4 linked regions of the Oryctolagus cuniculus genome follow. The protein of the gene in region 2 interacts with the protein of the main gene of each other region in a biochemical or structural test. Links are inferred from orthologs where the notes say so. Each region holds a gene or a part of one and is shown on either strand. Other genes may lie near its edges. The genes, in order: HDAC3, GTF2I, USF1 and BTK.

Region 1 (7,461 bases), on a different chromosome or scaffold from region 2:
GCAGGTCCCAAGCCTTCCCAATTGCTTGTCTTCCCGCTCAGGCCCCTTAGAAAACAGCTGCCCAGTGCCTTCCCTCCTCTAAGCTCAGGGGTTTAGTCTTCAGAGCTCTGAGCATAGGAACTTGCCCATTTGCCCTCACACTAGGCCTGGGGTCTGGGGAGGACGGCCTTCAGGGGAAGTGTCCAGGGGTAGGCCTTACCACTGTAGGGGAGCTCTTCACTAATGGCCTCTTCAACCAGTAGTGATGTCTCATACGTCCTGAAACCAAGCAGCAAAGCAGGCTAGACTGACCAGTAGGTTGAAGGGCCCTCCTAGCTTACGACGGACTACGGGGAACGAAGGAAATCAGGAAGGGCACTCACCAGCAGCGGGCAACGTTTCGGACAGTATAGCCGCCACCACCCAGCACCAGCAGAGGGATATTGAAGCTCTTGACATATTCAACACATTCTCTGTCAAAAGGAACCAGAGAAACGGGTGGAGGAAGTTACCAAGAGCCAAGGCATACTCCTCTAGGTACTGTCCGCAAAGAGGCACAAGGTATGTACAACGTTCCATATCATGATCTGGGGAGTGCAACTCCCCAGGTTACATCCTCAAGATCTGTAATTTTTTTTAACATAAAAATTTGAAAATAAAGTAGACCTCCACCTTTGTCCTGTTCAACACCCTCTCTGGCAAACCACCTGTTAATCAACTAGTCTCCTCAGTGTACCAGCAAGTTCACAACAAAACTCAAGGGGCAAGTGTTTGGCCCAGTGGTTACGATGCCTGCATCCCACACTGGAATGCATGGATTCAGTTTCTAGCTCCGGCTCCTGGTTACAGCTTCCTGCCAAGGCAGAGCCTGGAAGGCAGCAAGTGATGACTCAAGTACTTGGGCCCCTGACACACACATGGGAGACTTGGATTGAGTTCTCAGCTCCAGCTTCAGCCTGCCTCATCCTGACCATTGTGGGCATCTGGGGAGTGAACCAGACATGGGAGGTGTCTCTCTTTCTCTCTCTAACAAACTTTTAAAACGAAACTCATGTCGCTGCTTCTCACAGTCACCTCCTCAACCTTAGTCCAGGTAGCATTTACCCTGCCTAGCCAATGCCAGTGGCTTCCTAAGGGATCTTCCCACCACCACTGCTGTCCCCACTCCCACCCCACACCTTTCTCCACTAAGCAGTCACTTGAAAACACAAGTTAGGTCACATTACTTCCCTGCATGAAATCCTTCATCCCATCATCTTTGGAGTATAATTCAAACTCCTTTCAAAGGTCTAAAGGCACCACACACTGTCACCGCAGCCCACTCCCTGGGCCTCACTGCTTTTATTTCTTCTCCTCCACTACCCGAGCTCTTCCCTGCCTCAGAACCTTCCGTGGGCCCTCTTACTGCCAGGACAGGCTTCTCTGATAACTTTTTTTTTTTTTTTTTGGACAGGCAGAGTGGACAGTGAGAGAGAGAGACAGAGAGAAAGGTCTTCCTTTGCCGCTGGTTCACCCTCCAATGGCCGCCGCAGCCAGCGCAGCGTGCTGATCCAACGGCAGGAGCCAGGTACTTATCCTGGTCTCCCATGGGTACAGGGCCCAAACACTTGGGCCATCCTCCACTGCACTCCCGGGCCATAGCAGAGAGCTGGCCTGGAAGAGGAGCAACCGGGACAGAATCCAGCGCCCCGACTAGGACTAGAACCTGGTGTGCCGGCGCCGCTAGGCGGAGGATTAGCCTAGTGAGCCACGGCGCCGGCCTCTGATAACTTTTTAACTTGGGCTTTCTTGGCCTCCAGGTATCAGCTCAAATTTCAACCCTTCAGAAAACCCTTTCCAAATCATTGCTATCTGAAGTCATAGGTTTCCCATTGTCACCCTACGTCACATGGTAAACCCATCCTTCATGGGATTTATAATAATCTAGTAATTATATTTGTGTTTCTTTTTTGTGTGTGTTTCCTATGCTATTCTATAGACTCCACGGGCGTTTCCTCATTCCATTCCCATCACTGGTACAATGCCTGGAACGTAACAGGTGCTTAATGAAAACCTCTTGTGAATGAATGACCATCAAAGGAACCCTGTTTAGTGTGATATTTCTAGTTTAAAAGTAGCTATTTTTCATTCCCAAGAAGTGGTGAGGCTTATTCCCAACCACTTCCACTCCATGTGGCCCCAAAGCCACTTGAAAACCTGGGAGGGGGAAGGAGGGCAAGTCTCACCCATGTCCTCGGATGCTCAGGTTGAAGCAGCCCAGTCGATCACAGCCCAGGGAGTCAGCTCCACACTGCAAAACCAAAACCCCGGGTAGCTGCCGTCGGATCACCGGCCAGAGCATCACGGTGTCCTGCACTCCCCTCCCGCCACCCACCGGGGGACACGCCTCTTCCCCGCTCTCTTTCCTCAAGCCCAGGAGAGCCCTCCTGAGGAGGCCTGGCAGCATTACCTGCAGCACAATGCACGTGGGCTGGTAGAAGTCCACCACCTGGTTGATAACTGGCTGGAAAAGGTGCTTGTAACCTGGGAGAGGGCCAAAGATGGGCACCTGGCACCCCAAGGGGATGGGGAGACAGGGAACAAAAGGAAAAGGGGATTGAGAGAGCATGTAGCCCGGGAAAGGGGCAACCCAAAGTCTCAGACCACTGGATCCACACCCCCGAAGGGGGTCCCAGACCGCGATGAGTGGCTGATAAAAGCTGGTGACCCTCTTCCCAGAAAAATGCACATACACACAGTATGCCGCATAGTCTCTAGGGGTTCACAGCCCTCCTGAAGGCCATTCACCCACCTGGCCCAACAGTAGCGAATACCAGGCAAAAGCCGTCACTTAAGGAGAGAAGAAGGGCAGAACCAGCAGGGAGAAGACGCCGACACTTACTCTGATCGTCAATGCCATCCCGCAGGGGCACGTTCAGACAGTAGTAGCGGCCACTCTCTGCTCCCACTTCATACATGTCACCTATAGGGAAGTGCCAGGGGTAGCCGTGCCCACAAAGCACCCACAGTCAGCGGCACCACCTACATCTCCCTCCACCAGCCTGCACCCATTCAACAAATATTCTGCTGAGGGCCTACCATGAGCCAAGCTGTGTAGCAGGCACTGGAGATAGAAGACCTAGCAGTGAACTACACTAATGACATTAACACCTGCCAAGCTCGTATTTACCCTCGGGGGAGGGGCCGCATGAGGAGGAGGAGACAGTAAAGGAAACGACACGAAACACCACGGTAATTACAAGCAGCAGTGAGTGCTCTGGGAAAGAAACGGGGTACGGTGACAGAGAGGGGAGCAGGAGGTGATCTCTGTGACGCCGGGACATCTGAGCTGGCACAGGAAGGCCAAGCAGGCAGTGACAGCAGCGGCCCTGTTCCCATACCTGTGCCAGGAAAGAAGTAGTTTCCATATTTGTGGAAGGACACCGTCATGACCCGGTCGGTGAGGTAGAAGGCCTCCTGCACGCCGTCACCGTGGTGGATGTCAATGTCAATGTAGAGCACCCGGGGGTGGTACCTGGGGTGAGGGCAAAGCCAGGCTCTGGGGTAGGGGCGAATCCCCAAACCCACTCCACCTAAACACGGGACAGGGAATTTTGAAGACTCTACTTCTGCCCAAGCCCCCTGAAGCCCAATCCCACCAGGAGGCAGGGACAGGAAACAGATGTGCAGAGATGGCTCAAACGCGAGCAGGCAGCAGTGAGTCTGCAGCAGAGCAAGGTAACAGGCAGCTTGAACTTGGGAGAAGTGAGCTGGGCAGGAGGAAGTCAGGGCCAGGGTGGAGTGTGAGGGACCTCCCTTGCCAAGAGTCTCCCCCGGCTACTTACTTGAGCAGCTCCAAGATGCCAATTACAATGTCATTAACGTAGCAGAAGCCAGAGGCCTATGGCAAGACACTGGTCTTAGGGAGATGGGCGACTCTCCCACCCAGCTGCCTCCCACTGCCATCCCAACCACCTATCCCAGGGGGCTACCGCCTCCCCCTCACCGCCTCCCTTACCTCAAACTTCTTGGCATGGTGCAGACCACCAGCCCAGTTAATGGCAATATCACAGATCTGAAAGACAACCATGCAACTCACAGCCCTCCTCCTCCCTCTGCCCAAAGCTGGGAGCACAGGATCAGGCTGATGGCCCTGAGTCAGAGCCCCACAGGAAAGTGGGAGAGGACTTGGGGGCCACGTCACCTTGTTGTTCAGCTGAGTTGCTCCTTGCAGAGACGCACCAGTGTAGCGGGAGCAGAACTCAAAGAGCCCGGGGAACACAGGGCTGTGGGCAAGAGAAGCTGCTGGAACGCCTTTGCCTCTGTGCAGGACCCCTCTTCTCCACCCTCCTCACCCACACGCCCCCAGTCCCCATTTGTCAGCAATGCCAACTGGGATAGCTGCAAATTCATTCAGTAAATACTGTGCATCAAAATGTGGACCAAGCCCTGTGCAACGCACTGAATGGTAGGTAAAGGAGCAATTAACTCTGTCAGGAAGTTGGCACCCCAGCTGGGGACAGAAGCAAACAGCTTCGAGGTTCTTGAGTATACAGGAAAAAAGAAACACACTGAGAGCACGTGAGGTCTGCTTTCCTTAAAAGAATCTTCCATGGGTATCACCCTTTAACATAACGTTTAATAGTATCCTTTGCAGTCACACATTACAAAAAGTGATATGTATTCTTATATGCAAGGACTAGGAATAATGAGACAACCCACAGAGAGCCGTCAGCTCAGTGTGCGGCACCTGGTAAGCCTGTAATAAATGCTTGCCATAAGTACTGTCATCTTCATTCTTTATAAAAAGGAGAGGCTTAAAGCCAGACACAAAAGGCTACATACTGTATGACTTGATTTATATATAGCATTCTGCAAAAGGCAAAACATAAGAACAAAACATCAGATCCAGGGGCCAGCATTGTGGCATAGTGGGTAAAGCTGCCACCTGCGATGCCAGCATCCCATGTGGGCAACGGTTTGAGTCCTGACTGTTTCACTTCCAATCCAGCTCTCTGCTAATGCACCTGGGAGAGCAGTGGAAGAAGGCCCAGGTGCTTGGGCCCCTGCACCCATATGGGAACCCAGAAGAAGCTCCTGGCTCCTGGCTTTGGTTTGGCCTAGTCCTGAGAGATTTACAGAGACAGATCTTTCATCCACTGGTTCACCCCACAAATGGCCACAACAGCCAGGGCTGGGTCAGGCCAAAGGCAGGAGCCGGGAACTTCATATGGGTCTCTCACATGGGTACAGGTGCCCATGGACATGGGACATCTGCTGCTGCTTTTCCAGGTGCATTAACAGGCAGCTGGATCAGAAGAGGAGCAGCCAGGGCTCGAACTCACATCCACACAGGATGCCAACACCGGTATCACAGACAGGGACTTAACCTGCTATGCCACATTGCCAGCCCTCTAAACCTGACTTTTAATAAAAAGGAAAAGCATGAGGCTGATGTGGCACAGCAAGCTGAGCCACCACCTGTGACACCAGCATCCCACATCAGAATGCCAGTTTGAGTCCTGGCTGCTCTGCTTCTAATCCAGCTCCCTGCTGATGTGCCTGGGAAAGCAGCAGCAGATGGCCCTAGTACCTGGGCCTCTGCCACCCGCGTGGGAGACCTGGATGGAGTTGTAGGCTCCTGGCTTCAGACTGGCCCAGCCCAAGCCATTTAGGGAGTAAGCCAGCAGATGGAAGATCTCTTTCTTCCTCTCTCTCTCTCTCTCTTTCTCCCCTCCCCCTTCAAATAAATAATATATATATATATATACACACACATATTTAAATAAAAGGAAGAGATTAAAAAGTCCCTAGTTCGAAAGTTCCTAGTGCGAAAAATGGAAATATAGTGAATTTTATAGTTTCTCAAAGGGTTTGGAAGAATTAGTGATTTGTACCTAGAAAACAAAGCACATGGGGAAAAATGCAATTAGTAGCTCCAGGAAAAACAAAAGTCATTCAAGAAAACAGATTAAATCGCACTTTGAAAGGGTACTGTAAAAACTCATGGGAAATGGGGGCAGGCATGTGAGACAGCCATTAAGAAACCACTTGGGATACCCTCATCCCTTATCAGCCTGCCTGTGCATGAGTCCCAGCTCCGCCCCCAATTCTACCTTCCTGCTAATGTACACCTGAGAAACAACAGGTGACAGCTCAAGTACCTGGGGCCTTGCCACCCATGAGGGAAGCCTGACAGAGTTCTGGGCTCCTGGCTTCAGCCCCGCCCAGCCCTGGGTGCTGAGAATATTTGGGAAGTGAACCAGCAGATAAGGGCTTTTTCTCTGCCCTTCACATAAAAGGGATTCTGTTTAAAATTAAAATTTTTTAAAGTCGTAGAAGGTAAGTTTATTTTGGTTCAAAAACTTTTTGAGGGCTGGTGCTGTGGTGCATTGTGTTAAGCCACTGTCTGTAGCACCAGCATCCTATATGGGTGCCAGTTCAAGTTTCAGCTGTCCCACTTCTTATCCAGCTCTCTGCTAATGTGCCTTGGAAAGCAGTGGAAGATGGCCCAGGTGCTTTGGCCCCTGCATCCATGAGGGAGACCTAGACACAGTTCCAGGCTCCTGGCTTTGGCCTGATCCAGCCCCCATTTTTTTTTTTTTTTTTTTTTTTTTACTTATTTATTTGACAGGTAGAGTTATAGACAGTGAGAGAAAAAGAGACAGAGAGAAAGGTCTTCCTTGTGTTGGTTCATTCCCCAAATGGCCAAAACAGCCAGAGCTACGCCAATCCGAAGCCAGGAGCCAGGTGCTTCCTCCTGGTCTCCCATGCAGGTGCAGGGCCCAAACACTTGGGTCATCCTCCACTGCCCTCCTGGGCCACAGCAGAGAGCTGGACTGGAAGAGGAGCAACCAGGACAGAACCAGTGCCCATACGGGATGCCGGCACTGCAGGCAGAGGATTAACCTACTGCGCTACAGCACCGACCCAAGCAGCCCCCACTTTTGTGGCCATTTGGGGAGTGAACCAGCAGAAGGAAGATTCTCTCTCTGTGTGTGTTTCTGTCTCTTATCCTTCCTCTGTAATTCTGACTTATAAATAAATATTTTTAAAAAGACTTTTTGAAATCCATGGATTATTCAAAAAGCTCATGGAAAATAAGAATTATGGAAAAACTATGCACAGATTTCAGAAATGTTTATAGCAAAATAAGCTTATCTTGGGGCTGGCACCATGGCACAGTAGGTTAATCCTCCACCTGAGGCGCCGGCATCCCATATGGGCGCCGGTTCTGGTCCCAGCTGCTCCTCTTCCAATCCAGCTCTCTGCTGTGGCCTGGGAAGGCAGTGGAAGATGACCCAAGTGCTTGGGCCCCTGTACCCATGAGGGAGACCCAGGAGAAGCTCCTGGCTCCTGGCTTTGGATCGGCACAGCCATTGCAGCCATTTGGGGAATGAACCAACGGATGGAAGACCTTTCTCTGTCTCTCCCTCTATCTGTGACTCTACCTCTCAAATTAATAATTAAAATCTTTGAAAAAAATAAGCTTATCTTTTAATT
Region 2 (7,461 bases):
AGATTGTGTGATGACTCCAGCCTGTCCGCTAATATCGCAGCCCAAGTTGTGGGTGAATGATTTCACTTCTTTATTTGAGCTCTGATGAGCCCTTCTTTCTTTCCTCTCTCTCTCTTTCTCTCTCTTTTTTTTTTAACCTGCCATCTGCTGGTTCACTCTCCAGATGCCCTCAGTAGCCAGGAGAGGACGTGGTGGACCAGGAACCAGCGACTCACTCTAGGTCTCCCTCCGGCTTGGCAGGGACCTAAACACTTGAGCTGTCGCCTGCTGGTGACATGGAGCTGGAACTGAGAGGGGGCCAGGGTTGAACTGGGCACTCTGTGCAGGACACAGGTGCCCCGGCCATGCCTGCCCTTCTCTGCCTTTGTGTAGTGTCAGAAAGAGCGAGTACATCTGCAGGTCTCTGCTGCCAGGGCCTGGACAGCCGTAGCTGTAGTCTGTGTTGCAGACCTCTGTTTTAACTTCTTCTTCAAGGTTTGTGTGTTTGTTTGAAAGGCTGGGTGACAAGGAGGGAAGGGGACACCAGGCGATTGGCCTTCTCTCTATTGCTCACTCCCCAGATGTGCACAGCAGCCAGGGCTGGGCCAGGCTGTAGCTGTGATTAGGAGTTCCATCCTGGTCTTCCAGATGGGTGCAGGGGCCCAAGCACTTGGGCCATCTTCCACCGCCCGCTGAGCTGGATCAGAGGTGGAAGTGCTGCAGCCCAGCGTACCCCACTGCTCCATGGGGCCAGGCCCAGCAGTGGGGAGTTTGAAGTTTTCAGGAAATGAGTGTTTGAAAAGGTGAGGCCGGCGCTGCGGCTCACTAGGCTAATCCTCCGCCTGCGGCGCCGGCACACCGGGTTCTAGTCCCAGTCAGGGCGCCGGATTCTGTTCCGGTTGCCCCTCTTCCAGGCCAGCTCTCTGCTGTGGCCCGGGAGTGCAGTGGAGGATGGCCCAGGTCCTTGGGCCCTGCACCCGCATGGGAGACCAGGAGAAGCACCTGGCTCCTGCCATCGGATCAGTGCGGTACGCCGGCCACAGTGGCCATTGGAGGGTGAACCCCCTCACTGTCCACTCTGCCTGTCAAAAAAAAAAAAAAGAAAGAAAGAAAGAGTGAATCCTGAGTGTCTGTTAGTGTCTTAAATGTGTGCGGTCACTCTCGTGAGCACTGAGGGGCCGTGTGCGGTCAGGGTTGTGTGTCCTGAAACAGGAGTGCTGGATCAGCTTTCAGGACGCCTGGGGCAGCTAGTGAGGGTCCGGGCAGCGTGCCGAGGAGTTTCTTTGTGTGTGATGACGTGAAGGGCCATCTTTGCGTAGGGCGGCATGGGAAATACTAAATACTGTGCCGGGGAAGCCCGCAGTGGAGAAGGTCATAGCCCTGTCTAACTGACCCAGAGCTTCGCCCCCAGCGTGCCTTTGCTTTAGGCAAAACAAGGGTGTTGGTGATGAAGATTGGAAGGGACACGTCCTGTGCTAAGGGGACCGTGTGGAGAAGGCGGGTATTCCCAGGGCCTTGCCGTGCCCTGTCTGGACGTGGCGATTGCCCAGAGCCGCCTCCCCCTCCTTGGGGGAGACTTCACGTTCAGGCTCGCGACAAATGCGAGTGCCTGCAGACACTGAGCACAGTCATTGCGTCATTGAAAGAGCGTGCAGGCCTCGGCGGTATTCCAGCTGCCGTGTCGTGCCGTTCTCAGCAGTACTCGATCTGCTGTCTTCAAGCATAGGTCAAAGGCTTGTAACACAAGGAGAATCTTCAAGTTCCCAGTCTTGTGAACAGAGCTTGAGTGTCTGCCATTCTTAGCAGACCTTGGGAAGGAATGGGAGGTGGCTCTTGTTCTGACACAGTGGTGCAATGGCCTGCCAGTGGCCAGCTCGTCACCGATTCCATGACACGCAAAATGTGTTTGTCACTGCCGTCAGAGAAGTCTCCTTAAACATGCTGGGTGCAGGTTGGTGAAAGATGGGTGGCATGGGGCCAGTCTTGCAGCATAGCCGCTAAAGCTGCTGGCTGCAACTCCAGCATTCCATATGGGCACCGGCTGTAGTCCCGGCTGCTCCACTTCCAATCCAGCTCCCTGCTAATGTGCTTGGGAAAGCAGCAGAAGATGGCCCAAGTACCTGGCCCCTGCACCCACTTGGGAGACTCGGAAGTAGCTCCTGGCTCCTGGCTTTAGACTGAACTCATTATGGCCATTTGGGGAGCAAACCAATGGATGGAAGATCTCTCTTTCTCTCCATACCTCTGCCTTTGAAATAAATACATCTGTTTAAAAAAAAAAAAAAAAAGGATGGGGCTGGCACTGTGGCGCAGTAGGTTAATCCTCCACCTGCAGTGCTGGCATCCCATATGGTCTCACACGCGGGTGCAGGGACCCAAAGACTTGGGCCATCTTCCACTGCTTTCCCAGGCCATAGCAGAGAGCTGGATTGGAAGTGGAGCAGCCAGGACTACAACCGGCACCCATATGGGATGCTGGCGCTTCAGGCCAGGGCGTTATCCCGCTGCGCCACAGCGCCAGCCCCTCAAATAAATAAAATCCTTAAAAGAAAGAAAAAGAAAAGGAAAAAGAGGAAGGGAAAGAAGGATGGATGGATGTCACATGTGAAAAAGGTGTGGTTAGCCCAGTGACAGAGTTTGAAGGGGGGAGACGGGGGAGGGTCCCCGGCTCCTGTCTTCCCACACTGAAGGAGCAAATGCGGCGGAGGGCGCTGCAGGGCAGGAGACCGCACTGCAAGGTGGCAGAGCCCGTGGCCCTGGAGTGGGGGTGTCTGGGTGTCTCTGTGAGAAGTCACTGAGATTGGGTTCACACTGGAGGGAGCCTTTGGGCTGCTTTGCAATCCAGAGGGTGCTCTGGCCTTGTGCACCGTGGGTTAAGCTGCCGCTCGGGACCCCGGCGTCCCACACTGGAGAGCTCTTCAAGGCCCGTCTTCCTGCTGCGCGCCTGGGGAAGCAGCGCAAGACGGCCCCAGTGCTCGTGCCCCTGCCACTCGAGCGGGAGGCTGGGTGGAGCTCCCTGGCTGCTGGGGCCGCGAGGGGAGTGAGGCAGTGCTTGGAGGCTCTCTGTGTCTCCCTTTCTGTCACTAAGTCTTTTTAAAAAAGAAAAGAAATCCAGAGGAACTTGACAGCTCGGGCCCGGCTGCAGGGGAGCCAGGCTTCCTTTCCAAGCACAGGCCATGTCAGGAGGGGATTCCCGAGGTGGCCCGCCTTCAGCGGGGGTCTCAGAATTTCCCGAACATTCCCCACCGCCCTTGCCAGCGACCCCAGGACGTGCACTCTGCTCCTCCTCGGCACCCGCAGCTCCGCCCGCCGACAAGCCGCCCGTGCCTGTGTCTCCTGATGGCCTTTTCAGTCCGTTCTAAAGGCCACATGGAAAGGTCGTGGTTGCCTTGCACGGAATGGGCTGGAAAACCGAGCAGCGGGTGGGTGGGGGTGCGCTCAGCTCCCTGGTGCCTGCCGCGTGTTTCCTGAGAGATGCGCTCGTGCGGTTTCGCATCACAGGACACAAGGGCTGGCTGTGTAGCGAGCAAATCCGAGTGCAGGGTCTCGCCGAGCCCGCGTGGGAGCCTGACAGGCCTCCCAAGAGGGGCGTGTGAAAACCGGTGCTTCAGTGCCGCTGCTTTGGTTACACCGCGAGGGAGGCGTGCATTCATCTCCATGCCTGTCTTCTGGTAGAGGGCGAGTTCAGGAAGTCATGTTCACACGCACAAGCTTCTGATTGCAGGGTTCGGCTGAAGGAGGGTGCGCGTCCCGACCTCCGGTCGCGGTCGCGGTCGCACGCGCGCGCGCATGCGCACAGCAGCCGTGCTCACGGGCGTTGTCTTTGCTTTGCAGTCAAGGAGGACTGGAACGTCAGAATCACCAAGCTGCGCAAGCAAGTGGAAGAGATCTTTAACTTGAAGTTTGGTAAGACGTAGTGCTCGTGTCTACTGCCACACGTAAATAAAGGCCGCGTCCACGAGGAGTCTCTTGGGTCAGGACCTGCGTGGGTTCTGGCCTGGTTCTGCCCAACTCACTGCTCACACGAAGCACGCCACCGTGCTCCTCTCGGATTCTGATTGTCTGGTCGGTATGGGGGAGGGGAGGAGGCCATGGGGTGAGTTCCCCTCCTGTGGTCTGCACGTCTGCTATGGCCGACGCTGGCCTGGCACGCGTGTGTCGCCACTGGTTTCGACCTGGATCTGGGGCAGCGGTTCCGGGAGCGCTGTCCGGAGTGGGATCCAGGTGGGATGTATCTGTCATGGCAGAGGAAGGAAGCAGCAGGGCGTGACAGCAGGGTTTTGGGCGTTGCCATCCGATTATTTAACTCCTGGAATTGACATTTTGTGTTTCCATCAGGAGCCTTGAAGACTCTGCCTCTGGTCACTAACGCCCATGCACCCCACACAGCTCCTGTGTTGACATAGCAAACTTGGCGTCCAGATGGCAGCACAGGACGGCCGGGGCCACTGCTGTGTGGGATGGCCTTACTGCATTCTGCCCCGTGTTCCGAGAGCGCTTTGATAACGCAGCCCTACCTTTGATTTAAAGTGCTAAAGTGTCCTCTTAACGAATGCTTGCCTTTTAGGCTTGTTCTTCTTCTGATTTGCACATTGTACTAAGCAAAAGTGTCTTTAGTGTTGAGTGGATATTGCTAGGTTGCAGGGAGCGTGCACAAAACTTACTTGCGAATGCGAGCACAGATGGAGAGAATGTGGGTACAGCTTTATCTTCCATAAGTGGTGTTGTCTTTCAGCTCAAGCTCTTGGACTCACAGAGGCGGTGAAAGTCCCGTATCCTGTGTTCGAATCCAACCCTGAGTTCCTGTATGTAGAAGGCTTGCCGGAAGGAATTCCCTTTCGAAGCCCTACCTGGTTTGGAATTCCGCGACTTGAAAGGATTGTCCGTGGGAGTAATAAAATCAAGTTTGTTGTGAAAAAGTGAGTGGGACTTGCCCTGGAAGTGGCATGATCGGATTGCCTGCCTGTGTGAGTGCTTTTCCAGCGGGAAGGAGAGGCCGGGCTCTGAGCTGCACCCTGGCGAGTCCCCGCCTGTGCTTGCCTTGTGCGTCAGCTGCCGTTCTGCGGCGCTTGCGTGGCCTCTGGGATGGGACGTCTCCGAGGAGTCCCAGACACTTGGGTGGCTGTTGCAGATGCTGTTCTTTCTCTGCTCTCACTCCTGGCCATGGTTGGCAGTGACTGGCTGTCAGTGGCTGCATGGTTGGAGAAACTGAACTGGTGTGAATTTCCTGTCTCATGAACGGAGTCACTTACTGTTCATAAAATCCCTCATCAGATTGTTGAGGGGAGGGGAGGTGGGTTTCCTGCCCACAAAAATGGAAGTCCCTGGGGCTGGGGCGCCTGCGTGAGGCCTGCGCCGCACTGACCGCTGGCCATGTTTTCCTTGCAGGCCTGAACTGGTGGTTTCCTACCTGCCTCCCGGGATGGCGAGTAAGATCAACACTAAAGGTAAGAGGCGCATCTGCTGCTCCCTGTGCCCCACGCATGGCCGCATTCTGCACCCGCGGGCCTCAGATAGTGTTGCCCAACACCTTCATGAGGCCTTGGCTTCATTTTTGTTTTTTCTTTTTAAAGATATATTTTTATTTATGTATTTGAAAGACAGAGTTACAGAGAGGCAGAGGCAGAGAGAGAGAGCCTTCATCCACTGCTTCACTCCCCAGATGGCTACAATGGCCAGAGCTGGGCCGATCCGAAGCCAGGAGCCAGGTCCTCTGGGTCTTTGACGTAGGGGCAGGGGCCCAAGCACTTGTGCATCATTGCTGCTTTCCCAGGCATATTAGCAGGGAGCTGGATTGGAAGTGGAGCAGTCGGGTCTCAAACCAGCGCCCATATGGGATGCCGGCACCACAGGCAGCAGCTTTTACCTGCTATGCCACAGCGCCATCCCCATTTCTTTGTTTTTTTTTTTTTGGTTGGGTTTTTGTTTGTGTTTTTAAGATGGATTTTGGGGGGGGGGGGCGGGGGATTGATTGATTTGTTTGGAAGGCAGAGTGACAGGGAGCTTCCATCTGCGGGTTCACTCCCTAATTGGCCGCAGTGGTCAGGAGCCTGGAGCTCCATCTGGGTCTCCCACCTGGGTGGCAGGGGCCCAAGCACCTGGGCTTTCCCCCACTACCTTCCCGGGGTGCTGGTAGGGAGCTGGATCGGCAGTGGAGTGGCGGGACTCACGCCCACACCCCAGCGCGGGAGGCGGCGTCTCAAGTGACGCGTTAACCCGCCGCGCTGCTCTGTGCCTTTTATGGTGTTTACGTAGTGGCTGCGTTCTCTTGTCCACCATGACGTGTCCGCGGCCTCCCGTGCTGCCGTCTGCAGCTTTGCCAGGGCTCGCGCAGGATCACGTGCTGAGCTTGCTCTGAGGGCCTGGCCGAGGGCCGCGGGTGGTGGCGGCGCCCTCTCCCGCTGTGGCCTGGCAGTGTGCGAAGCTACCGTGTGCTTGTCTTCCAGCTTTGCAGTCTCCGAAAAGACCACGGAGCCCCGGAAGCAACTCGAAGGTCCCTGAAATTGAGGTCACCGTGGAAGGTGAGGCCGCCATCTCTGCCCAGTCTCGGTGTTTGTAGCTAAAAGTTGAGGAGCCCTTGAGCGTGCTGTCCGCAGTCGGCTGTGTGCTGCTCTGAGGAGAATCCCCAAGTGCTTCTTCCTCTAGGACAGTCAGGTGCAGAGAGCAAGGCGCAGTACTGCTCTCTTCTCCTCTGGCTCTCTCTCCTTTACAGGGACCACCGTTTAGAGATGATTTGCATGGCGGTGGTTAGGGCTGGTTTAGTTGGTGCTGGTCAGGGGTGGTGTAGCCGGCAGTGCCTCGGGGCCGGTGTTGCCGGGGGTGGGGGTGGGGGGCGAGTTAAGCTCCTGCTGATGTTCCTGGGGCAGCAGATGGGGGCTCAAGCACTTCAGCCCCTGCTCCCCAGTGGAAAACGCGGGTGCAGTTCTTGGTTCCTGGCTGTGGCCTAGCCCAGCCTGGGCTGCTTTCTGCTTTTGAAATAAAATAAATAACCTTTAAAAAGAAGTGGGTAAGTAGCAGCGCCACCCCGCCGTCTCCTTCCTCCTCCCCCCTCCCGCTGACCCGTGGGGTCCCGTGCCCAGGTTTAGTGCTGAGGTACTTGATGCAGAACCACCCGCTCTCGGCCAGCCGTGGGGTCGGTGTTTCCTCCCGTCTCCGTCAGCATGGCACGCTGCACCCTCCATTTCCCGTGTGTAGGAGGATTTGCAGCCTCGATCTTGAGTGGGCGATAGTCTCCCGCCGTGACCTTGTGGGTTGGAAGCTGTTTCCCCACTGAGAGGAGAGAGGTGTGCACCGCGCCCATCCTTTCCCCTCAGAGGCGCCGGCAGTTTCAAGTGCACACGTTCAGTCCCTCGCTGCTCTCTTCTGGAAAGTTCTGAGGGTGTCTTTCCTTTCCTGAAGGAGCCCCTGGTTAGCTGTGAGTGCATTGGGGTTCTTCTGGGTGAACGGGAACCCGCCCCTGAGTCCATCAGCACTTGATGGGAG
Region 3 (8,108 bases), on a different chromosome or scaffold from region 2:
ACCCAAGTACTTGGGTGAAGACCCAGATGGAGTTCCAGGCTCCTGGCTTTGGCCTGGCTCAGCCCTGGCTGATGCAGGAATTTGGGGAGTGATGGAAAGTTGATCTCTCTCTCTCCCTCTCTGTGTCACTCTGCTCCCTCTCACTCTTCCTTTCAATACATAAATAAATCTTTCCAAAAAAAAAAAAAAAACCACCACTCCTGGTGATTGAGAAGAAATGGGATCACTCACGGGGAATACGGGTGGGTCCTAGGGGCGATGGAGCGCTGGCTTCCCCCCTGCAACACTTCCTGTGGTGACATCATCACAAAGAACTGACCTGTGAAGACGCAGGATAAACTGTGTCCGGACAAACCTGGCCACATGACCATGCCCTGAGGCCACGACCCTGGGATCCTCCTCTGAAAAGAACAGGCTTCCTCCTGCTAGGAGGGGGGCCAACTCACTGCCTTGCCCGGGGCTAAGGAATCAGGAAGGGTCAAGAGTGAAGGCCCACTGCCCACCAGCCATGTCCCATGGCCTCTCCTAGCCCCTCCAGCCAGCATCCTCACGCGATATCTCACCAGTGCCAGGAGGGGTTGCCTGCCCCAGTAGTGCCTCTGAGCCCTGGGTAGTAACAACAGCAGCTGTACTCCCCGATGTGGTACCTCCTGCCCCATCTCCCACTGCAGTGCTGGGGAAGTAAGTATAGTGCGTCTCAGCAGCTGTCCCCTCTGTGTCAACCGTATCATCACTGGTGAAAGCACCCTGGATCACGGCCTGGAGAGGAGAGCAAGAGGACAGAGTCCAGTTCCCTTCTTCCTCTCACTGCCCGGAGATCTGGTCACCAGCCCAGCCCAGACTGCAGTACCTGGGTCATGGACTGAGTGGCAGGGTAGCCACTGATGGCGCCGGTACCCTCAGTCTGGCCGTCCAGTTGCCCTTCAGACACCTGGATCACCCTGTACATCACCTAAAAGCGAGAGGAAGAGGGCGGGAGAAGAGAGAGGAGTAAATGCTGGGACTCCCAGGGCACTTCGCAAACTTCTCCATGGGGAAGGCCCCAAAATAACACCCTCGACACAGTCAGCCGCTCTCCCTTCCCTCCCTGTCCCAGGGCTTTAGCATACCCCTGGCTCACACCAGGCTCTACCCCAACTCTCATATCAGCCCTCCCACCATAAGAGTCCGTATTTCCCCCTCATCCTCCAAGCCACATCTTCCCAACACATGTTCCAAACCTCCCTCAACCCCAATCCCAAGTAACACCTGCAGCCACCTGGCTCCTCCCCTTACCTGGCCCCCATTCTCAGTTCGGAAGACGTACTTGACGTTGGGGTCAGGGAAGGTGGCAGCTGACTGGATGCTGGCGATAGCCACACTGGTTGGGTCCTCCCCAGTAGCTACTGCACCTGAAGTAGGAGAGCAAAGGAAAGGTCCCTGAGTTAACTGCCTTTCTCCTTCTGTTCCACTTGCACGACACGTGGAAGGAGGAAGGGCGCTCGGGAGGTGGCCCAGTGGAGGGACAGGTGCCATCATGGCTCTCAGTTCCATTTTTAACACTCACCTTCCTGAATCTGCACTGTCCCCTCTTCCGTTTCAGCTGTTTTCTGCTGCCTGTTTGTGGTGAAAGAGCAAAAGAAAGAATAAGGGAAGAAGGGAGTGAGAAGCTACTGGCCCAGTGGCAAAGAACTCCCAAATCCACTGGCATCCATAACAGATGCTGGGTTACGTGAGAATAACAACTAGTACTTACTATGCATGTAGGCTTCAAGCTAAGCATTTAACATGTCCTGTCTTAGTGAACACTAACAGCACTATAAGGCAGGTGGCACTACCTCCATTCTACAAATGGGAAACCAGATCACACAGCTGGTAGGGGACGGAACTGGACCTGACTCCAGGTCTGTCTGCCCGCACAGCCAGTGCTCTCAGCGTCTGACGCTCTCCCAGGCCAACCATCTCTCACCCCAGACCCTACCTCTGCTTTACTCACCCCTTCATCTCTCTGTGAGGGGGCACATCCGAGGAACTGGTCCTTTTTTTGGAGTCTTCGTATCTCCTGATTCACAGGCCTGAATACTAAGTCCTGGTAGAAATCACGGAGTTTGCAGTGAGTGTTGGACTGAACAGCCTCCCTAGACTTGGGATCAAGGCTCCGTGAACACACAGCCAGGAAAAGAACCCAGTCACCTGCACCTGCAAAGGACAACCAGCTTCCCCCATTCCAATGCTGAGGGCCGGTCTGTTGGAAAACGCAACCCTACAAATCGAGCTCCTCACCCCTTCATTATCACCCTGACTCTTGGTGGAGAAGGGGTCATTATACCGGAAGGCTGAGAAACAACACATTTCTCAAAGGATTATTATTAAAGCTATCATGATCTCCCACAACAGCAGCTTCAAGGAAATTAGGGAGGGCCATGTTGAGACCAGCATTACCAAAACACAAGGCCATGGACAGTCATGCTTCTTCCAGGTTCTCAGCTTCCAGCTGCCTCAATCCAGGGAGGGGACACAGGAACCCACCACCACTGGAAAACGGATGCTAACCACAAAGACCTGGCCCTTGGGCTCCACTCTACTGAAAGGGCTCTTATCTGGGCGCAGGGGGTGCCCAGATTGGTATCATCCCTTAGAGAACCTAACATCCAAGTGCACTAGCTTCAAGCCTTCTTTATTATTATTCATTAAGCCTTCCTGTAGAACAACACAGTTGCTAAAACGTTGCCATGACAACTCCAAATCAACTGAGCCTCACTAAGGAGGGAAAGAAAAAAAAAAAAAAAAGCCCAGGCTTAGGCTTCCGAAGAAGAGACAATGGAGGAGGAACCCATCTAGGAGGTGCCTGCCTTAGGACCCTGACATGCAGCCAGACGACAGAAAAAAACAAAGGGCTAAGCGGGCAGATGCCGAAAAGAAACAGCCGGTACAAAGCAGTAAAATAATCCCAACACGAAAGGGGCAAGATTTCTGTAAATTCTGCATCCGTGAGTTTCTCCTGGCCTTTTCTATCCCAGGAAATATCCTCAGCGGAGAAGCCCTGGAGAGCCCGTGGCCAAGGAAAATGGCAACAACAACAACAACAAAAAGGAACTGAAAGCGAAACTGTCCGAAGGAAGTAATGTTGCAAGGAGATCCCAGCCCCGCAGGAGAAGTAGCCCTGGTGTTTTGGGACCACCCAGGTCTCCATCCTCCAACCTGAGTGGGAAAAGTGCCCCTCCGAGGCTCGTCGCGCCGACTGCAGGAGGAAGCAATGAAAGAGAAGGCAGGGAGTAGGAGGCGCCTCTATCGCCCACAGCTGTCAGCCAAGGGCGGTCTCCGAGGACACCCCGCAGCGGGGTCGCGCTACTTCTTCAACCCCGCGCTGGACATCCGGAAGCATTTCCTGAGCCTTCGGGAGATGGGAGACACGGGAACCGGGATAGGATGTTGCGCTGTGCACGCTCAGGCAAACGAGGGCCCAGCGAGACCCCTGGCCGAGTCTGGACACAAAGCGGGGTGGGGGTGGGGGATGCAGCCTGGAAAGAAACCAGGCCTGAGAACAAGGCGTCTCCCCGAAGGCCCACCGAGCAGCAGGCGCTCACCGAGCTGAGCGCCCGCCAGGCGCGCGCCCCGGAGCCCGCGCCGTGACCCGGCCAGCCCAGCCGCGTTCGCCCCGCGCCGCGGCTGCTTCGCAGAGCAGGCAGGGAAGGGGCGCCGGGAGCTCGGGGGCCCGCAGCCGCAGCCCCGCGGCCGGACAGCGCAGGAGGGCGGGGAGCGGGTTTGGCCCACAAAGCGGGATAGCAAATAAAAGAACCAGGCACGGTCCCCTCCCCCAAAACAAAGGCTTCCTCCCCCAAGAGTTTCCCATCCTGAAAAACGGAAACTAAATCAAAGCGGCCCCGCCTTGCCGACCCATCCAGTCTCCACACTGCCGTGTGGCCCTGCACTCACCGGCCCAGGCCGTCTCAGCCGCCGATTTCCCCCCGACCGTGTTCTCCCTCTCCCGACCCGAGTCTCTCCATAGACAGCTGCTCATGCGCACTGCCGGCCCTGGGCCATGTTGGTGAGGGGCGGAAGTGTCTCTCTCGACCCGCCCCGCCCACTTACAGCCCCTGAGCCGCTCCACTTCCGCTCGCTCCATCTTGCTGAGGGCTGGAGGGATGGGAGCGTGGGGACACGCTCGGAGGGGTACTGCTGGCGAATGTCGCTCGAGGCCTGGCCACTTAGGGCGGGAGCGGGAGAAGGGCGGCTAGCGTGTGCTGCCATCTCTGTGCTTGGCAGAGCTTTTTTGATTCCGGGAAAAGGGAATGGGGCGGCAGGCGGGGATCAAGGAGGGCCGCCAGACGGAGGCGCCATCTTTAACAAGGGCTATTTGGGAGGCCATCTTGGATAAGGGCAATTTTTTTAAGGGTTTCCTACAGGAGATGGAGACATCTCAGGGCATAAATAGATAGATCTGAGCATACCTCCTTTCTGTTAGCGTCGCTAGTCACTCACCCGAGGCTTACATTTTGCGAGAGGATTGATTCCCATTCTTCCTAATAGGTTTGGAGTAGGATGGTATAATGGGAAAAATTAAGAAACCAGGCCATTTAAACCTGGTTCTCAAATCCATCTCTTCTACTTATTACCGCTGGGATCTTACAAGCATTTTTACTTAATTGAGCCTTAGTTTCCTCATCCGTAAGATGGAGCCACCTATGTGTACCTACCTTACAGAATTGCTAAGTGGAATTAATACACAAGACTACCCAGCCCGGTTCCTGGCACATAATGAACATTATGTAAATACAAGTTTCTCTTCCCCATTTCCTGACCACCGCTGACCCCAGCTCTAGTTTTTAGCCTAGTCTCCATGACAACTGAGAAACAGCCCTGAACAAAGTAGGGGAAAAAAAAGTTTGGCCAAATATATGAAAATGTGATACCTATCACCCAAGGTTTTAGTCAGAATAATGAGACTCCACACTGTTTATGTGTAAAAATACAACTTTTATTCTGCAATACCAACCCCTTCTAGAGTGAGACCTGTGCCCTCCACCTGTCTGGAGAAGCAGTCCCAAGAACCTGAGTGAGGCCATCCCCATTTTCTGAAACAGGAGGGCATTATTCCAAAGGAAAAAGGAACGGCCAGAGAGATGTGCACAAGACCTTTCCCCTGTAATATACGGAGAGGCAGATGGAGGGGAAGGGAGGGGTCCAGGCCATCTTTCAAACACTGAGGACTTCAAAGAACTTCCTGGACATACTGCTAATATGGAGCTAAGAGGATCGGGAAGTATCCAAGGATGTAGGGATGGACAACTAGTGTGTGTGTGTGTGTGTGTGTGTGTGAGAAAGGGGGGGGCGGAGGGAGAAGCTCTGAGCTGACCCAGTCCTCACCTCTGTCTTGGGCTTCTATAAAGAAGCCTCCGAGGAGAGCAGGAACTTGTCTGGAATTCCCCCTCCATTCTTCGCTTTGAGAAACTTCTTAAATTTTCTGCCTAACGTTATGTTCCCCTTGGCCAATGACGCTACTCCCTGGGAACAGGATCTTGGTGACTTTTTTGGAAAATCTCCTGAGAGATAAGTAAGTGCTCTAAGTCTGAGACGAGCTCAGGTATACCAGCTGAGAAAGTGCCTCCCACAGTCAGAAACAGAAGCTGGAGGACCAAAGTTCCATAGAGTGGGGCACTACAGCTGCTCAGGCTACAGAAGAGACAGCTAGCCAGGGACCCCAAAGATTCCAGACAATTTCCTGGTCCCTTTGGCCCAATGTTCTGGTCCTAATCACAGTCTCTCACCTTTCTCGTGGTTAGCCTGTGTTTCAAATGCATATGACCGGCGCTGGGGGCACATAAGGAGATCGGGGGGCTGGGGATCTTTGAGGGGCAGACTAAGCCGACTCCGGGATCCAGGCCCTTCTGTGCCTTCAGGTGGGTGTTCCAAGCAGCTAAGGGGCCGAGAAGGATGGGCAGGGATCGTGCTACAGAGGGAGGTTCTGGGAATGAGGCTGTAGTCCCCACCCCCAGTACATGTCTGGGTCCGCCGGACTGCCTGAGCCTCAGTCCTCTGGCGGTCCCGGGCCATGGCCACAGCAGCGTCGAAGGAAAGACTGCCCCCATTCCTCCAAGAGGATCGGGACGCTCGGGACCCCCAAGCCCTTTCCCCAGGAGTCCCATCAAGGCGGCCAGGCCTTGGGCATGGGTTTGCAGGGGCTACATGGATCTTGCTGCACATTGCACTGGGCATCTTGGCAAACTGTGGCTTGGGGGGCACCACGGGCACAGAGTGGACCTGTTGGACCTGAAGCAGGGTGGAAGCCAGGCGCATGCCCACACCGCCTGCTGAACCAAGGGAGCAGGCGCACAGAGCATCACCCTCAGAGCTGGGCTGACCATCAGGCTCCAGCTCCTCTGGCTGGGGTGGCTGGGGGGCTACCTGTTCCGTATCAGAAGACTGAGCATTGCCCTCTTTGGCAGCATCAGCCTGCAAGAACTTCATGCCCGACCCCCCAGAGAGGGCCCCCTCTTCTACACGGTCCCCTCCCGCGCTCTGAGCTCCCTCAGCCACTCCACGCCCACTCTCCCGTTCCTTGCTAAGCTCCCTTTCTCCTCCTTTGGCTGCTGTTGCTGAATTTCTGCCATCTTCGCCATCTCCTTGGTCTTCTCTTGTCTCATGGTTTCCATTCCCCTTCTGTCCTTTGACCTCATCCTCTGTGCCTCCATTGACCTCTTGTTTGTGTACAACTTCCCAGTTCTCCTCAGCAGCCAGGTGTTCCTGGGCCCCGTTCTCTGGATACCTTCCAGTGTCTACCTGAGCCGCCTCTCCTCCCTCAGCCTCTTCTCTCTCAACCTCTTTGTCCTGCTCCTTGTCTATATCCTGTTCTCCTGGTTCCTCTGTACTCTTAGTCTCCTCCACGCTTTCAGCCTCCTGATGTCCTTTGGCCTCTGCCTCTTCCCCACTCCCTTCTTCCAGCCTGACCATCCCCTCTCGGCTTTCCGCAGCCTCCTTTCCTTCCTCACCGGCCTTTCCAACTTCCGTCCCAGCCCCTGGACTCCCTTCAGCCTCTTTCCTGATGTCCCATTTGCTTCCAGGCTCAGCTTCCTTGTCTTCCTCAACTTCCAAAGGTGCCTGCTCTTCCTCAGTCAGTCCTGGAGTCTGTCTTCCACACCCTGCTGCCTCGTCCTGCAGGTTCTCTGTGCTCTCCCAGGAGCGGGGATTAGGCCCCAACAGGGGACTTAGATCATCATAGGCACTCAAGAAAACTTCCTCCCCATTTTCTTCCTCTACTTCAGGCCCAGGGCCCACAGAGTCCAAGGAACAGCAGCTGGGAGCCAGAACATACTGCGCTTCATCCAGAGACAGGTCATCCAAGGGTGGCTCCACAGAGAACTCTTCCACCTGTAGGCAAAGCATGGAGGCTCAGGACCACATGGCCTTGTCTACTCTCTGGACTCCTTACCACCCCCAAACCCAGCACAGCTGTTCCTTACCTGAGGCCCAACTCCCAGGAGCTCCTCCAGGTAGCCCATCCCGGAGTCGTCCTCCCCAGGGGAGAAGGCAGCTCCTGCTGCTCCTGCCTTGGCCACCTCCCCATCTTCCACCCCCACCCACTCGGGCTCTGAGCTGCTTGAGTCCTCTAGGAAGGAGAAGGAATCCTGCACCTCCTGGGACAGGGAGTCCTCCAGAACAGGAGCCTCGTCCACTGGGACTGAGTCAGCCAGGGGACCTGGGACCGGACGTGACTCCAACTTCTTATCTGTCAAGAGAGAAATAGACCCAGGAACACAGAGGTCAAGGCCAGCCCTGACCCTTTCTTCCTAGCACTCCCAGAATAGATACTGCACATGGCTGATGCCATCAGAGCATTATCCCTGACTGCTGGCTTATAGTTACTGTTATTGAACCCCTTCCAGAAGCCAAGCCCTGCGCCATACATTATACAATGTATTTACTTAATACAGAATGCAATTACTTACTATTTACAATGTGATTATTTAACGTGCAAAACAAACTAGGGCATTATCCTCATTTTACATAGGAGGAAACTGCAGCTCAGAGATATTAAGCAATTTGCCCAAGATCACACAGCCAATAGGGGCCACTAGGCAAAAAAAAAAAAAAAAAAAAAAAAACCTTAAGATTTATTTGAAAGGCAAAGT
Region 4 (7,461 bases), on a different chromosome or scaffold from region 2:
CACGCCATACAACTGCACCAGCTTCTCATGGGAAAGGTTCCTACAGGAGAGGCAAGGAACGAGTCCTCCCTTTCAGTTCTGAACAGTAGCCATAAAGGGGTGGGGGAGGAAAGGGGTTGGCCTTGGCCGAGAGCACCAGATAAGGGACTGTAACAGTGAGTTTACTTTCCTCCTTCCCACCCCAAGCCCCAAAATTGCCTAAGATGTGGGGTGATCTGGGATTTGGAGCCCATCAATGAAACAGGAAACAAGTCTGGGGGGTGAAAGAACACCAATGCTAAATTAGAATCAGTCTTTCTTTTGAAAGTCTCATTGGCTACATTTGCCCCCAAATGCTATTGCGATTGTACATTACCATGACCAACACTATTCTCAACCAATATCTAGGACAAATAAATGATTATTTCAGCAGTTAGGACACCCACCAATCAGAAGTTGACCCCAGTCCTTGGTCCCAAATCTCACTGTAAGTCACCATAAACCACCCTGGCTTGCCCTGGGAATTTTTAGATTGAGAGTTGAATTTGGCTGTAACTCACATCATAACTTTGGCTTCTTCAATGAACTCATCCTCAGACATAGAGCCTTCTCTGATCATCTTGATGGCCACGTCATATCGGCCTCTCCACTTTCCATACTTCACTACCCCAAATTGTCCAGTCCCCAGCTCCTTCAAGAAGGTCAGGTCCTTTGGATCGATTTCCCAAGATCCTAACAACAAAGTCATAGTGTGAGTCCTTGGGGTTCATATATATGCAGTTCTTATCATATATAAGAATCCTTACTGAAGTAGAAATAGGAAAAGTAGTAAAAAGGAAATTCTCAGGAATATTAATTTATTTTTGCTGAAGTAAATCTTGGACAGGGTTACTGGTTGGAGGAATCTAGAAATTTTAGGTACAAGTTGGCCAGAAAGTAAGAAAATAGACAACTTCCACAAATCCATTTATGATTATTTTAATGCTGCTAGTTAATAAACTCAGGAATGGTCTTGAAACTTTCTACTAGGATTAAAAATAAAAGAGAAAAAGACCCTCACCATCAACAAACCCCTTTATGAAGCTACATTTTTGCAGTGCCAGTAGGAGCCACTAGAGGGAGAAAATCATTAAATAACTCTTGCTTGGTTCTGTCCTTAACCTTCCTTGAAGCAGCTGAGGTAGGACAGTGCACCTCAAGGTCACTTGCTAAGGCAAGGTCTGTAAAGGTAGGCCTTGCAACTGGCCAGTTTACTCTACTGCAGAGAAATAAGCGGTTACCGTAGCCCAGGCCTGCAGTGGAAGGTGCGTTCTTGTTTTGTTGAGACACTGGATATTTGAGCCTGGATATGAGTCCTGTAACATACAGAGAGATCATGCTGTTGGTGCAGCATAGAGGATGGGCTGCTTCCCACATACTCACTTAAAGCCTCTCACTTTCAGTATGCATCTCTCTAGCATATTTTAAAATCCCAGGAGATCTTTACAAACCCACATTTTTCTGAAAGTTTCTTCTCTCACAAAAGAGCTTTCAGAGAGAAGATAAGAAAATGCTATTGAAATACACCCCATCCCAACTGAATATATTCATACCTCCCAGCCCAGGCTTAACTCACATCCTGTCTTCTCAATGAAGCCTATCCCATATATGCATGCCAGGTTTTATTATTTCTGCACTACTCAGAAATGATGTTGTCTAACATGTATGTTCTTTGTGGACAAGGATCTTGACTCAGACTTTCCCTGCAATCTCCTTTAGAACAGAGGGAATTGCTGAGTACATAGCAGGAACTCAAAAAAATATAGCTGACTGGTTCATCACCAGTCTCCTCTGTGTCTTTCCTTGGCACTGAGTTTCAGTAAGAAGTCAGCACCAATTTGGGTGTAAGGTTGGCCTTTGACCACCTCTTGACAGGACCCCTACCTGACTATCCAAGGATTTACGTTCACAGCTCATTCAACTGCCCTGTGAGGTATACTCTCCCCCTGGCCATCTTGTCCAGAATTGCTTCTCCTGGCGTTGTCACATCCTTCTTCTTGGCTGCCCCGGTACTCACCTGCAGAGTTATGCTGATGATAGTTAATGAGCTCGGGGATGGTGCTGAAAAGGTGCTTCTCAGCCAGGTAATACTGGCTCTGAGGCGTGGAGCACACAACATAATGGCGTATCACTCCTTGCGGGTCCCTAAAGAAATGGCTGCTTAGTCAGTGCCTTGGGAACAAGGGGCAGCAGGACCCAAGAGGTGAAGGGAGGTGAGTTTTGAGTTCAGGAGCTAGAGGAAGTAGGAGGGGCACACCATTAAGGAGCTGTTGGGAGAGCACCCTGTCCATGAACAGTAGTAGCACTCACCCTGTAGATTTAGCAAACACAGACACGGTGTATTTTCCAGCTTTGCTGGAGTCTCTGACAATAAAACCTCCTTCTTTCCCCTGAAACAACAAAAAAGAAGCTGAACAAAGGAGGAAGTAGCATCCACACCGGCATCCCACTTGCCCGATCCTGAGGCAGAATAGAAACGATTCATGATTTTACTGCCAAGTTCCACGCTTGAGCTGTAGCTGCACTGATTGGGATACCGCAAAGCGAATTGGTACCACAGATGATGGCGCCCTTGACGCCGCCTTGTCTGAAGATGGAGTACAGAGCAAGCCCTCCATCCAGGATCCTCACTCACTGAACAAAGGGAATGCCGTTTGCTCATGGTCATGCACTCACCTCTTGCTTGAGCAGTTGCTCAGCTTGACTCCGAGTCATGTGTTTGGAATACCACCTGTGGGAGGAGAGTTCTTGAGCGGCTCTGGGGCCCCACTGAAGGCAGCTCAGAGGTCCGAGTGCTCTCCAGGGTTGGTCCCTGCCAGGGGTTCAATCATTGCACTCAAACTCTTTCTTGAGTGCCTGACAAATGCACATCACATGTTGTCCCTTTCCCAAACCCAGGTTGGCACTGCAGACTCATGGGAATGGTGCACAGAGGGCAAAGGTAGATAGCAGGGGTTTCAGGGGAGAGTTCAGGGACTGGGGCACTCAAAGTGAGTGTCATCAGGCTGTCAACCCTTTTCTTTGAGTGTTATTCTTCTGGGTTTGAGGGCATGGTGCCCTCCCAGCTCTCATAAGCAGAGGATGTTCAGGGTGAAGGCAAGACATAGGCACTAACTTGGGGTGGTGGCATCATTGGAGCAGTCGGCACTAATTTGAACATGTATCTTGAAATGAAAACAATTTTGTCAAATGGGTAGAAAAGTATATACTTTGTTCCTCCTGGAAGATTGTGTGCTGGGAGCACAAGCATACTCACTCATACATTTCTATGGAGTCTTCTGCTTCGGTGACATAGTTACTAGGAATGTAGCCTTCCTGCCTGTAAAGGAGACAACGTAGCAGATCGTCCAACACTTTCCCATCCTGGAGAAAACAATTCATATGCCCATACTTCTGAGCTCAGAACCAGTTCCAAACAGAAGCCTGTAAGTCACTCTTCTCTCTCGAAGAGGACCCTTTTTACCATGCATGGTTAGGCCAGTGAAGGGTGCAGCTTCTGCACATGTGGTGTTGGTTATCTGTGCACTACAACAGAGGCTCAGAAAAGGGGCAGAGGCCATGTGTAGAACTGCATGCTGGGAAGTGCTTGGAAGGAGAGCATATTCTCTTTGGTGTCAGAAAAATCCTCTCTGATCAGGAGAGTGAGCAGGACAATTATGCTGCAGCATTTGGCATGTGTGTGGAGTGGGCAGGTACAAGGCTCAGGAAGGGCTGGCATGAACTCACCCGTTTTTATCCCGTGCTCGCCACCATGGTAAGTTGCTCTCCTCCAAGATAAAATACTCATCACCCTTGCGCAGTTGTAGGTCATTGGCATTCATCGGCATGTAATCATAAAGGGCTACCACCTTTTTCAGCTCACTTGTGCTGACTGGTGCTGCTGTTGGCTCAGGGGGCAGTGGCTTTTTCAAGATCTGTGCAGTAGTTAGGAGAAAACGTAAGGGAGGTGGCTACATGGTAAGCACTCTCCTAACTCTTCCGCTTACTAGTGATGCCATTCTAACCCAAATCAAACGTAACACAAGATTTATTCTACATTCCTTTAACACCATCTTTGGGCACTAAAGCAGGTGTTCTCAACCTGGGATTCACATGAAGATCACCTGGAGAGAGTTTAACACTCCCGAAGCTCAGGCAATTCCCCACATGCCAGTTGTGTCAAAATCCCTGGGAGTGGGACCAGGCATCAGTGTTCAAAGCTCTCTGGGCAAAACCCACATACAGCCATACTCAGGAAATCTGCTTAGCTCTCAACTGGTAGGTGGAACTAATAACTGACTTAATAATACCTGCCCTACCTCCTTATGATATATGAGAAAGGTCAAGGAAAAAAAAAAACCCAAAACTCAAGTGTGAAAGTAAAATGTTAGCGGTAGAATCTAAGTTTTGGGTATATGAGTGTTCAGGGTTAAATTCTTTCAACTTTATGTTTGAAAATACTTTTCACTTAAAAAGTAGGCTTTGTTTGAAACAGGTGGTTGAATTAAATGGTCGCCAGAAACTATCTAATAGCCCTCTATCTTTCCGTTGAAGAGAAAGTTCTAATTAGAAGGAGAAATCTGTCTTGGCAAGAATACTGATGAACACTGCCTAGTTGCAGTGGAATTCTGGGACTCTGGAGTGTTTCGTTTTCATGGTTTGTTTGTAAGTTTCCATTTAAATACTAGCAGCACCCTATATCCCGGCATACCTGGTCCTCCTCAGGAGTTGGAGGAAGAGGCTTTTTTGTCTTTCTGTGAGAACTCCCTGGTTTTAAGCCTGCAAAACAAGAAGCCAGTGATGACAAGGAATGCATTTTAGGAAAGGGCCCAGGGATAGACTTGCTCAAGGACTGTGCTGGAGTGCACAGTGCCTTTAGGCAAGATAGAAAAAAAAAGGTCCAAATAGATAGAGTCCCCCAGGTCACATGGCTTAGAGAACAGATCACCATCTAAGATTTCCATTCCCAGTAACCGCCTCTGCCAGGTCTATTTGTGCAGTGGCCAAAATGTACTATCTTATGCTTTGTCCCTGGGTTTGGTACAGCCCCTTATTGAGAGTGAGTCAAAGGAGGAAGAAGTTGTATTGATCAGATCTCTTACTTCCATTCCTGTTCTCCAAAATTTGGCAGCCCATAGCATTTTTGGCTGTCTGAGAGCAGCAGAGATACTGCCCATCGATCCAGAAGCAAGGGTGGTATTTCTGAACCAGATCACTGTTGTACCGGATTACTGTAGCAGAAGAGAAGACAGAGACATCATAACTGACACAGGGAATCCACCGTTTGCATGTTTTCCTCTCTGATGTGCTGAGCTCCAAACAACTGCCCCTCCCCAGCCACCCTGAAGAAAAGCAGACCACAGGGCCAGTTGGCTCACATGATGAGAGCCTGTGCCCTGGCACTGGACACTTCCTGTCTGGTTCTTGCTAGCGGTCTGTCATCTCTGACCAACATGATAAGACTATCTGATGGCTCCAGGGCCCAACAGAAATATTATCTATATTTTCCCAGTAGCCATTATCTTTTTTTCTGTAAGGCAGGTGTTGATGATGGTGCTCATTTTCCAGATAAGGGAAACAGTATGCCCAAGACAAACTCTCACTCCAACTTGTATTTTTTTTATTTTACTTTATTTATTTTATTTGCAAGGCAGAGAAACAAACATAACCAGAGACACACAGAGAGACCTCCTATCTGCTGGTTCACTCCCCAAATGCTTGCATCAGCTGTGGCTGGGCCAAGTTGAAGCCAGGAGCCTGGAACTCAACCTATGTGATCTAGGTGTCCACATGAGTGGCAAAGATCAGCTACTTGAATCATCAGTTGCTGCCTCTCCGAGTGCACATAAGCAGAAAGCCTAAATGGAAAGTGGAAACGGAACCCAAACTTGGGCACTTCGTTACGGGATGCTGTGTTCTAAGCTGAGACTTAACCAGTGTTCTGAACGCCTGCCCCTTACTCCAGCTTTAAAAAAAATTTATTTATTTTCATCTACTTGAAAGGCAGATACACACAGAGACAGAGAGAAGGGAGATATCTTACATCCATTGGTTCACTTCCCGAATGCCTGCAAACAGCCAGGGCCAGGCCAGGCCAATGCCAGAAGCCCAAAACTTCATCTGAGTCTCCTATGTGGATGGCAGGGGCCCAAGAACTCGGGACCATCCTATTCTGCCTCCCAGAATGCATTAGCTGGAAGCTGGACCAGAAAAGCACAGAGTAGCCAGAACACAAACGGGGCTTCCAATATGTGATGCAGGTGCTCCAAGTGGCAGCTTAACTTGATGCACCACTATGCCTGCTCCTACCCCCTACTTTTAACATAGCAATTTCCCAGTTCCCTGAGTGATCTTTTAGGAACATTTGCCTTAGTGAGAACTTCTGTATTGGGCTGTCTATATTCATAGAACAGTCAATAGAGCTGAGCCCAGGGGGAGAAATGAAAATGATTCTGTCCAGTCTTTCTAGGATTCCTGAGCTGGGCTGAGCCCATTGCCAAAGATAAAGGCAGCAGCTCCATTTCCCTCACAGAGCCATGAGGCTCAAAAGAGCTCCCAGAAGCCAAAGTATTTTGCAAAGAGTAGATTGCAGCTAGGATGAATTAGTACCACTGTTACTAATACTATGGCATCTTGGGGCTGGCACTGTGGCACTTGGGCCCTGCCTTGGTGCTGGCATCCCATACGGGCACCGGTTCAAGTCCTGGTTGCTCCTCTTCTGATCCATCTCTCTGCTTGTAGCCTGGGAAAGCAGTGGAAGATGGCCCAAGTGTATGGGTCCCTGAACCTGTGTGGAAGACCTGGAAGAATCTCCTGGCTCCTGGCTTTGGAAGCTCTGGCTGTTGCGGCCATTTGGGGAGTGAACCAGTGGATGGAAGACTTTTCTCTCTGTGTCTCCCTCTCTCTGTAACTCTATCTCTCAAGAAAATAAGTAAAATATTAAAAAAAATACTGTGGCATCTTGAGAATCTTATCAGGAAGTGAATGAGAAAAGTCATCCAGAGCTCATGGTGTCAGATACTAGGAGAAGGGGCCAGCATTGTGGCATAGCGGGTAATGCTACTGCCTGTGACACCAGCATCCCAAATGGGCAGAAGTTCGAGTTCTGGCTACTTCTGATCCAGCTCCCTGCTAATGTGCCTGGGAAAGCAGCAGAAGATGGCCCAAGTGCTTGGGCCCGTACACCCACGTGGGAGACTTTGATGAAGCTCCTGGCTCCTGGCTTCTGCCTGGCCCAGCCCCAGTCATTGTGGCCATCTGGGGAGTGAACCAGTGGATAGAAGATTCCTCTCTCTCTCTCTCTCTCTCTCTGTGTGTGTGTGTGTCTCTTTCAGTAACACTGGATTTCAAAATAAATTTTACAATCTTAAAAAGATACTGGGAGAAGCAAAGACGATGGAAACGACTGACTGTAGTGGGCACCAGGGCAAGAACAGGCACATTTGCGTACATTTGCATGTCAGC

Evidence for each region.
Region 1: the proteins of GTF2I (region 2) and HDAC3 form a complex in vitro, tested with the Homo sapiens proteins (2 studies listed by BioGRID). The link is inferred for Oryctolagus cuniculus from reciprocal best matches to the Homo sapiens genes GTF2I and HDAC3.
Region 3: the proteins of GTF2I (region 2) and USF1 form a complex in vitro, tested with the Homo sapiens proteins (2 studies listed by BioGRID). The link is inferred for Oryctolagus cuniculus from reciprocal best matches to the Homo sapiens genes GTF2I and USF1.
Region 4: the proteins of GTF2I (region 2) and BTK form a complex in vitro, tested with the Homo sapiens proteins (4 studies listed by BioGRID and IntAct, with this or other methods). The link is inferred for Oryctolagus cuniculus from reciprocal best matches to the Homo sapiens genes GTF2I and BTK.

The regions. Positions count from the first base shown.
Region 1 is NC_091437.1:29,197,748-29,205,208, forward strand, and holds part of HDAC3 (histone deacetylase 3), read right to left. Parts: intron 4,245-7,461; coding exon 4,163-4,244; intron 4,034-4,162; coding exon 3,977-4,033; intron 3,860-3,976; coding exon 3,804-3,859; intron 3,494-3,803; coding exon 3,360-3,493; intron 2,942-3,359; coding exon 2,861-2,941; intron 2,503-2,860; coding exon 2,429-2,502; intron 2,270-2,428; coding exon 2,205-2,269; intron 453-2,204; coding exon 363-452; intron 259-362; coding exon 200-258; intron 1-199. UniProt on the Homo sapiens protein: Histone deacetylase that catalyzes the deacetylation of lysine residues on the N-terminal part of the core histones (H2A, H2B, H3 and H4), and some other non-histone substrates.
Region 2 is NC_091450.1:49,717,582-49,725,042, reverse strand, and holds part of GTF2I (general transcription factor II-I), read left to right. Parts: intron 1-3,813; coding exon 3,814-3,885; intron 3,886-4,714; coding exon 4,715-4,898; intron 4,899-5,367; coding exon 5,368-5,426; intron 5,427-6,425; coding exon 6,426-6,500; intron 6,501-7,461. UniProt on the Homo sapiens protein: Interacts with the basal transcription machinery by coordinating the formation of a multiprotein complex at the C-FOS promoter, and linking specific signal responsive activator complexes.
Region 3 is NC_091438.1:37,748,877-37,756,984, reverse strand, and holds the start of USF1 (upstream stimulatory factor 1), read right to left. Parts: upstream 4,062-8,108; 5' UTR 3,916-4,061; intron 3,592-3,915; exon of another isoform or gene 3,567-3,591; intron 3,374-3,566; exon of another isoform or gene 3,181-3,373; intron 2,069-3,180; 5' UTR 1,984-2,068; coding exon 1,976-1,983; intron 1,597-1,975; coding exon 1,547-1,596; intron 1,392-1,546; coding exon 1,276-1,391; intron 953-1,275; coding exon 851-952; intron 760-850; coding exon 564-759; intron 320-563; coding exon 232-319; intron 1-231. Other genes in the region: ARHGAP30 (rho GTPase-activating protein 30), read right to left, coding at 5,734-7,347, 7,440-7,705.
Region 4 is NC_091453.1:91,375,866-91,383,326, reverse strand, and holds part of BTK (tyrosine-protein kinase BTK), read right to left. Parts: intron 5,229-7,461; coding exon 5,100-5,228; intron 4,777-5,099; coding exon 4,709-4,776; intron 3,933-4,708; coding exon 3,745-3,932; intron 3,338-3,744; coding exon 3,275-3,337; intron 2,750-3,274; coding exon 2,695-2,749; intron 2,409-2,694; coding exon 2,329-2,408; intron 2,164-2,328; coding exon 2,036-2,163; intron 1,335-2,035; coding exon 1,260-1,334; intron 712-1,259; coding exon 540-711; intron 41-539; coding exon 1-40. UniProt on the Homo sapiens protein: Non-receptor tyrosine kinase indispensable for B lymphocyte development, differentiation and signaling. Binding of antigen to the B-cell antigen receptor (BCR) triggers signaling that ultimately leads to B-cell activation.